Linked DNA regions of Neodiprion lecontei. The protein of the gene in region 2 purifies or fractionates together with the protein of the main gene of each other region. This does not show direct contact. Links are inferred from orthologs where the notes say so. Each region holds a gene or a part of one and is shown on either strand. Other genes may lie near its edges.

What was found.
Region 1: the proteins of anillin (region 2) and septin-7 purify together in Drosophila melanogaster (affinity purification with western blotting; 3 studies listed by BioGRID, with this or other methods). This does not show direct contact. The link is inferred for Neodiprion lecontei from reciprocal best matches to the Drosophila melanogaster genes scra and pnut.

What each region holds. Positions count from the first base shown.
Region 1 is NC_060260.1:40,094,983-40,100,272, reverse strand, and holds the start of septin-7, read right to left. Parts: upstream 3,288-5,290; 5' UTR 2,294-3,287; coding exon 1,922-2,293; intron 1-1,921. UniProt on the Drosophila melanogaster protein: Involved in cytokinesis and possibly cellularization. Also acts as an enhancer of the sina gene, thus having a role in photoreceptor development. May be involved in p53-dependent apoptosis.
Region 2 is NC_060261.1:15,614,747-15,619,979, forward strand, and holds the start of anillin, read right to left. Parts: upstream 3,098-5,233; 5' UTR 2,608-3,097; coding exon 2,590-2,607; intron 1,669-2,589; coding exon 1,542-1,668; intron 1,475-1,541; coding exon 1,274-1,474; intron 125-1,273; coding exon 1-124. UniProt on the Drosophila melanogaster protein: Required for cytokinesis. Essential for the structural integrity of the cleavage furrow and for completion of cleavage furrow ingression and proper formation of the midbody.

The DNA.
Region 1 (5,290 bases), on a different chromosome or scaffold from region 2:
GCTTTACTTTTTCGTCGGTAAGGGCTCTCCCGCACCCTCTCCCTCCCTCTTGGTCGCTGCGTCACGGACGATAGAAAGATACACAGTTGCCCTAGGTGACTCATAGACCGCCGTGGCGGCAGGCAGGCAGGCAGGCAGGCAATGTATACACTGCACGATTCACCATGTATGCTCTTCGGCCGCCGCACGCAAACAAGCAATCATTCCGTTCGTCGTGTGGATACGATGCACGATGGTGATGGTGATGATGATGATGATGATGCATGGGAATCGTACTACCTGTAGTATACGTAATACACCAGGTGTCTCGGCGTCGTTTCGAGAATTGAGAATTTCCTTGATACCTACTCGTGAGGACGAAGTTGGTAAGAGGTTGAAGTAAGGAACGTTAACGTTACGAAACATCAGGAAGAAATTCATTGTGTTGAAATTTTAGAACGACTTTCAAAGAGTTAGCTCTTGAAAAATGTAGTTATTTTCGGTTCGTGGTTTACTGAATTTCAGACAATTCTACTGGTGCGTTAAATACACTGTAGTTTTGAATAGCAAATTCCTTGAAAGTCATTTTTAAATTGACCAATTATGTTGATTTTTTAGACCGAGATTTCTAACTTCAGTCTGATTAAAGCGACATTTTTTCGGAGATTTTAGGAATTGTATGCGTTACGGTTGAGGTTGAGGATCGTTGCGTTAACGTGACATCGCATTGAAGTTAGTAACGTTATCGTAACGATTCATGCTGATGACAAAACCGTTGTTCCATTATTTTAGAACTGTTTGAAATTCAGTAAACCGTAACATGTAAAACAAAAGATACTCATATTTTTCAATCTTAGTTTCTTCAAAATCATTATGAAAATAAGAAAATAGTGACGTTTTTTCCCAATCTTTCGTTACGATAACGTTACTAACTTCAACCTCATAACGTACGAAGTCGCGAAAAAAACACTATATGCAAGTTGTTAGAATCACTGAACTAGTTGAGTTTGCAGTAATACGAGTACTTGGTGTAATGTTTTGTGCTTTGTCGCATTGCTCGCAGCGTAACGTATTTCAGGCAATACCGAAGTTTCTAAATAACAATGATTCCCAAAAATTTACAAGGTTGAAGTTAGCAGCGTCATCATAACGAAACATTGGAAAAAAATCACTATTTTCTTATTTTTACAATGACTTTGAAGGAACTAAGTTTGCAAAATATGAGTATGTTTTGTTTAATCACGTTTTACTGAATTTCAAAGAGTTTCAAAATCGCGAAATAACGGTTTTCCTTCAGCACGAATCGTTGCTAACTTCAACATGAAAAAAATGTATGATCTTCGTCGTACGAAAGTATCGAATTTCAACCTCTCGTATCAGCATGACTACAATTCGAAATCTTCCTATCCATACAGGTACTTTGTGGTCTAAGAAAATGCGGTCGACTTACCCAGTGATAGTGTTTTCCAAGTACACTTATATTTACGTAGAAGCTAACCTAACTCGAGGAACCTAATTTACGATTGAACAAATATTTATAGTACGAGAATTTTCCCAGAACTGCGCTGAAAAGCCAAAGTTTGAAATCGTTTCGTTAGTTCGTTTTCTTCGATCTCGGTACATGTACTACCGATACGTAATATTATTCCAATTCGTCCTTCTTTTCAGTCATGAAAGGAAAAACAAAGGAGGGTATCCCAGGTCAATCTCTCCGATTTGATTTCTTTTTTAATACGTTACAGTATACTACGTATTTTTTTTTTACCCGTCATCAAACAATTTAAGGGGGTGAAATAACCACCTCCGTAGTAAGCCGTGTCGAGGAGCGATTTGTGAGTACCAAAGAATGGACAAGAAAACAACGCTCGAGGAAAGACAAAGTTATTTCAATCGTGGGTCCAAGGACGGTGTCGTGGCCGCATCCGATTATCAAAATCCTTACCGTCGATGCGGCGTCGCCGTTCGGTTTCCCCTCGCCCTCCAATATCCTTTGTCTGAGGGCCAGTCTGTCCAAACTGGCGAGTCGGTAACTGCCGCCGGACTCTCGTTCCCTGGCGAGTCTTTCGGCATTGCCGTTAGTCCCGGCATTGAAGCTCGACGTGTACTTTGGCAAGGTGGGCGGTGCTTGACGAGTTTTTTCGCGATTCAGTACCGAGCTCGTGCTGTAAAGGTAGGACGAGTTGTTTGGTATCGTCCGGCCGCCAACCGAGACGACCGACGACGAGGTAGTCGATATGCTAGTTATCGAAGATTTTATCCCATTCGTTTGCAATGGGACGGCAGTCGCGGTGCCGTTTTGGTTCTCCACCGACATCTTTTCTTCTTCTTCTTCTTCTTCTTCTTCTTCGTCTCTTGGTCACTTCACCGCGCTCCGTTCGTTCTACTCCGAACTTTTACGGTTTCGACCCGTTACTGCTCTCACGGCTTTCGCTTTATCCGTTTGTCCCTTATCGACTGGTATAATCGACAGATATTCCAAATCCTATCGAGTTATTAATCACCCGACGTCGCTTCCTTAACCTCAAATTACCCACCGCGGCGCGTAACGTAAGTTTGGGGTTGAATAGAATAACCGAATTGTCACTACGATGCGGCTTTTCAACGATTGGCGTCGACAACATGCAAGAGTTGTTGACCAGGACTAAAACGGTAATGTCCGTTCGTTAGTTGAATATGTCTCGTATTCGAACGCCGACACAGCAAAAAACCCTTTTATAAGACTACCGCACTTATTATCTTCTCATTCACTTGTCACAACAGACAAAATACATCCCCGTAATTGGCTTTTGCTATACACACATATATGGTATGTTATCACGATGGCTTAAAAATCGTCTTTCAACCGCCCCGTTTTTGCCGTAGAATAAGCGGCACCAGCAGACTTTAGTATCAACGTTAGCCAGCGGCAGGACCTTCGACACTGTTGTTTGTGTGGATAAAATTTGCCACGCCAGGTGATTCACGTCTTACGAACGGTGCTAGCGAAGCGAAGAAACGACGAGGACGAGACCACTCTCACTTTTCGTTGCATTGTTTTGCGTGTATAATACAGAGAAACCGATAGTCGATCGTTGTTTGTCGAAATGGTAACGATTGTAAAATAAAACGTAAACAAACAATAGACGGAGGCTGCCTCCTGTCAACCGGTAACTTTGACCAAACTTTTTCGCACAATGCGTGTCTATGCGCGACAAACTTCTCGACAACGAACGTGTTTGCCTCTGTCGGCGTCGGTCCAACTGACAGTCAGCGGCGAACCAAACGGCGACTCACTCGCGCTGAATGCCGAATTGCCGTCGACTCACTCGCGACGCGAACACGACGACCACGCCTGACGCAGCTGCTAAACGCGGTGGGGGCAGGGAATTATCGCTACGCCACTGCACCCCCCACCACGAGTCGCCGCAGCACGCCGTTGCAACCCTCAGCGCATGTGCTGCCATCCCTAATTTCGACGGGCCATAGGCGTGGGGCGAGCGATAATGGAGCATTCAAGGGGTGTCGGACCGTTGGGGCAGGGGCGTAACTAGACTGGGGCAATGCCCGGGGGCCCCCAAGACGGGGGTAAAAAATGAAGTAACATTTCATTCGGATTCGTAATCGTGATGTTTTGCTTTTATCATTTCGTACTGTTTTCAAATGCATTTCGCAAGGTTTGGTCATAGTTCATTAGTTTGCCATCAGATGCCGGAATGCATCATTTTAACCAATCTAACAACTTGTTAGTGTACTTCTAATATTTTCCGTTTCAAATACTTATTTCAATTCAATATTGTAACAAATTTAATAGTTATATCGACTGTATAGTCAAAGATGTGAGACATCTTCTTTGGATAAATGGTAGTTTTAGTTTACAGTAAATAGAATGTATATAACAAATATTCTACTGTTTTATTGGGAGTAAATTACTGAGCATGGGAGGGGAGGGTCCAGAAGAACATGTTTCATGATTTACCTCGGGGTCTCTAAATGTCTAGTCACGCCCCTGCGTCGGACCTTCCAGTGTTACCCATAGAACTTACATTCCTTCGGCGAGCGTGTTTTACAATTCTTTCTTCTACATTTGCTGAATAATCAACCGTATCGTGTAGATATTTACTTTGTTTTCAATCACCATTATTTATAACCAAGCACAATTGCAAACTCTGTAATGATTTCTCTAAGTTTAAGAAACGATTTCACTTGACTCGGGAACGACTCGGGGGAGAAAATAGGTGTCCGACACTCGGTCGGTAAATTGACATTTTACTTTTCAAACTCGTGGCCTCGTTGTTCGTGAATAAACGGAGATTACCGCAAATGGAAACTTATATCGCCTACCGACGAGCAACCCATGTTTCGTTTATAACTGCACCACTGCTTTATCTGCTGCAACGAAGGTTGAGTTTTTTTTTCCCTCCTCATGGTGGACGACCTTTTCCTTTCAAGATAACCTCCTTTTACGTGTATTATATGTATACGCACAGAATGGGGACCGTCAGGCGTGTTGACACTGCATTTGCTCCACCGAGGATTAACAACCCTCGCAGAGAGTTTTTACAATACAGGCCATTCGTGAAATGTCGGAAAAAAGATCCCCTGATTAAACATCCGATACCGGTTTTTTTTAATAGTCGAGGGTTTAACTTTGCAGCGCTTTATTTTATCTAACGTTACCCAAGCTATTGGCATGAAAAACGCATTTTAGAAATTCATCGAATTTTCGGACCACAACCCAAATAGGATTCTTATCGTTATACATAAATACACATAGCCATTATTTGTAAAATGACAGTAGATGATCTCATTATTTACACTATTGATACACACATTTCGGTGCAATCTTCGCCGCATGGATGGTTTGTTTGTACTTCGAGAACGAAAAATGAGGTATGTATTGACAATTATCAACCTAATTCAATACGATAGGTCACATGTATGTTAATACATACCTATACATACCTATCATATACCTGTACTTTATACATAGGCGCGAGTTTTGTTTACAGCAGTTTGTTTATTCTGGGTTTGTAAGCTACGGGGCCAGTCAAGTATAAGCTAACGCTAAAACAGGGGCGGGCCATTTAGAGAAACGTTGTCAAATTTTACCCTATAATAGTAGGCATTCCAGGCAAGCGTTAACTGACATAGGAAATTCGAAGTGCGTGCTCAAAGCCAAGACGCTGCCTGCTTGAGAATAATAGAAATGTTTCTTAAAAAGGATGTGTTAATAATGCATTAATTACTCAATAATTATATCTTATTGTTACCAAATATCATGTTTATTGCATGCATTTAAGAAGAAAAACAATGTACAATGTATTTAATACTC
Region 2 (5,233 bases):
AAAGCAGCGAGTCTGCCCAATCTTGCACCTGGCTTAGCAGCTTTTCGATCGGTCGACTCTTCTTCAATTGCAAATTTTTCCTCTGTTCTGTGAATTGGCGAACTCAACTCACGGCTGCAATCCTCTGAAGAAATATATGTTCAAGTAATTCGATACATCACATTTGCAATCCTCAAAGCTATACTAAAACACTGTTCAATATTTTCTAATATAAATCAAAACTCCAAATGAATCTTAACTACTGAAAAGAATAGGTAATAAAAAGATTGAAAGTTTACGATATTCTGTCCTGAAATTTCTCGAACAGGAAAACATTTTTTACATCCAAGTTTTGATGGTTGTCAGATTTTATTATTGTTATTAGGATATCTCATTGACTTAGATCTGATTTTTCTGTTCACTTCAAGTCATAAAACTTAAGTCACAAATCATTACTTTTGTTTCGCAGGCAAAAGATATTTTCAGAAATTTTCAGTAATTTCTAAAAATTTACTCAGAATGCATATTTCTAAAAGATTTTCTATTTCGCTTAAAATATTTCAGACAAATTCGCATAAATTCCTAGGAGTTGTTCCGAAGTATCTCAATTTCTGTGCAGAAAATTAATTTCAACAGGTTTATCGAAAAACTTCGATATTTATTAAAAATTACTGTCAAAAATTTTCACACTTCTAGTTTGACTAAAATTATTGTTTTAGATATATCCAGATTTTTCAATGGCATTTCAGAAACATTCATATGCAACTGTTTCCTATGAAATTCCATACCGAAGTATGCTCAAAAAATATACAGGAACACCAGAAATCCGATTTTTTCAGATTTGTAATGCAAAATGGAGTTTCAAAAAAACTTGAGTTTCTCATAGAAATTGGTACAATTTTCACCTCTAACTTCACTTGGACAGAGACAGTCTAGAAGACAAAAATCTCAAGTTTATCAGATCTTTAAAAACTCTGTGGAATTTCTTCAAATCCCTTAGACTGATAGAATAATTCAAACTATTCCAGAAGTACTACAGAATTTTGCTTAGGACAGTCCAAAAACTAGATATATTTCTGAAAAATTCATTTAAAAAATTCTGAGAACTTTCCAATAATTCTCTCACTTGGGAATATAGTGATAATTAAAAGGTATGAGATATTGTGATCGGTACTTATTACAGATAGATGCTATGGCATCTGCCATAGTAGTACCATATCTATATTGTATGCAGGAACCAGTTTATGATATCAATGTGTGTAGGTGTGACAGCACCAACCAAGCAACAACTTACCAGAGTATAGCTTGCCCAGCCTTTGTAGTTTGGATCTGACACCGGATATTTGAGTCTCTCCATTCTCTTTGTTGGATACTTTGCCTTCTTGAGTTGTGATAGGAATTTTAGTAGGAGAAAATTTTCTCGGTGATTTAATCGGCGATTGCTTAACGGGAGAATCTTTAACCACTGGTTTAGCTGCCACATTGTGTTCCAGTACTAAAAGGCACAATACAACATCAAATAATGCAAATTGAACATGAGAGACACAAATGAATTAACGTACCTGGAGCCTGTGCCAAAATGGCATTAGCATCCTTCAGTGGACTGCGCCTCTTTTTGGGATCATGACCAGCATTTGACAATTGCGTGTCTAATTTTTCCCTCCTTGCTTTCGCACGCTCCAACATTCGCTAAAGTAAGCCAAAAAACTCGGATATCATAATTCACACGATGATGGTAGTAGATTAGCATAATAAAACAGTAAGAGGTATAATTCTGTACTTTTCTCACTTCTATTTAGACTTTTCATACATGCAGAAGAAACATAAGGGATTATTTTCCCTAATTAGCAAGTACAAAATCTGGCCAGGAAAGTTTTGAGCAGCTAAAATAATGAAAAGGGGTCTCAGACCTAGTAGTTGAGGTTGATAAGGTTTAATTTAACTAAAACAATATTATCTGAACACAGAGGAGCAGAAAAAATCGAGAAAAGCCCAGTCGTGGACAACAATTTTAATAGCACCATATCTTTGTTTTTAACCGAGAAGTGTGAAAAATGTGTCAAACAAATTCGAGAGCCTTTGATTACTGTCTAGACAAAGTAAGCTTTATTAAAATTAGACGAATTGGTGTCCGCAGAATGCAACAATAACCTAAAATCTCGATCTATGTTAAGGGTTAATTGCTTTATATTTACACTTGATTCAACTCAATTCGATCAAGACTAATTTCGCTTTGTGTTAGTATTGCTGAATAAGATTAAACCACAGAGAAATGCAACAGTCCATATGAGTTTAAAGTTCATAACGTTATCCTAACGATGCATATTCATGTGAAATAGTTATTTCACAAAATTAGTATGGTCTGAAATTCAATAAGACGTGACAAAACTATGCAGACTCAGATTTTGCAAACCCAACTTCTTCGAAGTCTTTCTAAACTGTCAAGATAGTAAGAGTTTTTCAATCGTGAAATTGTTGGGACCAGGCTACCTGGTTCATAAATTTTCTTTAGGATCACAACGGTCAACACGTGTTTGTATCTTACAATCCTATTCAATTCCAGACAAATAATGCCTCGGATCAGGTATAATTCCGCATAGCGTCGCTTACCTGAGTGAAGGGATCCATTGTTTAATTTTGGGCAGAAATTTAGAAAATTTCAGCACGCACGCTTGAAATCGTGACCCGACGTTTTCCGTCCTACGAAGAGCTCAGAGCGACGCGAATATACTTATTTATCTCGGGAAATAAGTGCAATAATATCAACGCACGCCGCGCCCTTCAACCGAACTCTTCAAACTGTCAACAACCGTTGCATTCAAATGCAACCGCCATTTTACGCGTTACTACGCTCACTGAAGTGGGATCACCGATGAAATTCAAAACGTCAATATCTCCTTCGATTCTGATCATAAACTTGTCGAACTTCACAGTTGTGGAAAGAACTTCATCGGTTATTTATTATCCTTTTTCAAACGAGATACGAGTTTGTCTTCCAATGTACCGGCCCGTGCAATTTGTTGCGACGATATATTTTCCGAAGTTAAACGTGATCTTGCCGTTCATTTGGGTACTGAATACCGACTCAATACTGACTGCTCGTTCATTCGCATCCTGTATAGAGCCCAGCCACCCGACGAACGAAGGCCCTATAGTGGGGGAAGAACGTTCGAAAGTTTAAATTAACGGGCTTTCATTGGTCGAGTTGTTGGAATAAATGCCTAACCGTTATACGTATTACAGATTATATCTCTACGCGTGCGCACCGGATTTGAACGTTGGTCATTCGAATTTTTTTGTAACTGGTTAATCAATCCGCAAAGGTGGTAAATTGTTCACAAAATTTAGTACGAGGTCCGAATCCCCTCATCCGCGTTCTTCCTTTGGGGAAAAGTTTTCAGATATTTCTCATAATTTTGTTGATAAATTTGATAGATAGTTTTCTAACATTTCTGAGAAAAATTCTGTACTGTATACAGTCGAGGGTTCTTAGGAAAACTAAGAAACTCGGAGAAATTTCCATTCTAAGATAATTCGTAAAAATTTAGTTTCAGTCAACGCTTGACAACCAAATGCAGCACCATTGGTCAAAGAAATGTATTCAACCCCATAAAGTTGTTGCTGGGATACCTGCAAATGTTTTTGTGTTATGGAATTTCTTCAAATAACCTCGTAATAATAAATATACATATAAATATTGAAGCCTGTATCTGAGCGTCAATCGATAGTTTATATTGTAAAAGAAGCTACTCAAGATTGAATTTGGTGAACATTATAATGAGAATTTTAAACGACGTTTGACAACTCATGCACCCAGTTCTGTGAAAGTAATATACCATAATGATTATCATATATATACAGGTAAAAAACTAGAATGGAAGAGAACATCATACGGACTTTTCGGCCGAATACCCTAAGAATTCATCCTAGCGAACCAAATTTCGAAACTGCAAATCCAAATATTAAGATGGATTATGTTGCAATACTATTATTCATTGGGCTGGTGGCTGTGCAATTGCTCACGAGCGCCTTTATTGGATACATTATATCAACCATATACTGATAATTTGTCTCACGAGTTTAATAAAGATCACTGAAATAAAATAATTGAGACCCTGATTTGGCTACTCATTAATCATATACATAATGATTTCCTTTATATTGCGATCGAATCAGTTAAAAATTTTGTCAGATGAAGTATAAATATACTGATAGTAACTGTTGTCAAGTGATTGACATTAAGATTATTTTATTATAATCTTGTCTGAATTGAAATATCGAACGAAAAATTCCAGCACTCTGCTGTTGCATAGCCAAACGATTATTATAGAACTGTTATAATATTCTATCATGATTAATATTATTACAATTCAAATTTCAACACTTCATATACTATTTATTAGCTGTAACATGATTATTTCAAAACATTGTATTGATTTTTATTTCTATGCATATAGAACTATGTACGTATTCAAATGCTTGTTATGTACTTAAATTAGATATTTATTATATTATACTACACACGGTTTCATAATAATAATAATAATGGCATGACTAGACAACGACTAAATAAGTAAATATACAGATGTTTCGGATATCAAGATTAGATCCAGGTAAATATTTAATTTAAATAATATCAAATTGTTAGTACATTATATCTCTCTATATGGTTTATAATCTCAGTCGATCGATTTCCTTTACATATTACACATCTGATTTGAATTTGGTATTTCTCTATTTTGTAAATTGGCCAAAGATATTCCAAAATCATGGCTTCAGTCTAAGAAATTTTAATGTGCGCTATATGCATTAAATATAGGTTATAGCATTATGATTTGTGCTGTATCACCACGGCAGTCAGTATATTTTACATGTTGTAATGCGCGAAAAAGAGCCTTATCAGATCCTACTCCTTAAGTAGACTTCAAAGAGCTGAGAGAATCGTGGCGTTATTTAATTCAAGCTCTTGGAAGATATAATTATGCGTATTACATTGATTGCTGCCAAATCGTTGAATCCTGATCTCAGCTAACATTTTGACATATCTTTGTTACATCGGAACACTTATTAATAAAAATTTTGAACAAAGAAATATCATTGTAACTAATTCATACAATCACTACTACATGTTTCATTTTCCCGATATTTCAGTATTAATTACAATTTGCAAATCACATGATTCAATTAGTTTATTTGAAGACTTCATCTGTATACATCATTTGTATACAATAATAATAAATATATACCAGAAGTA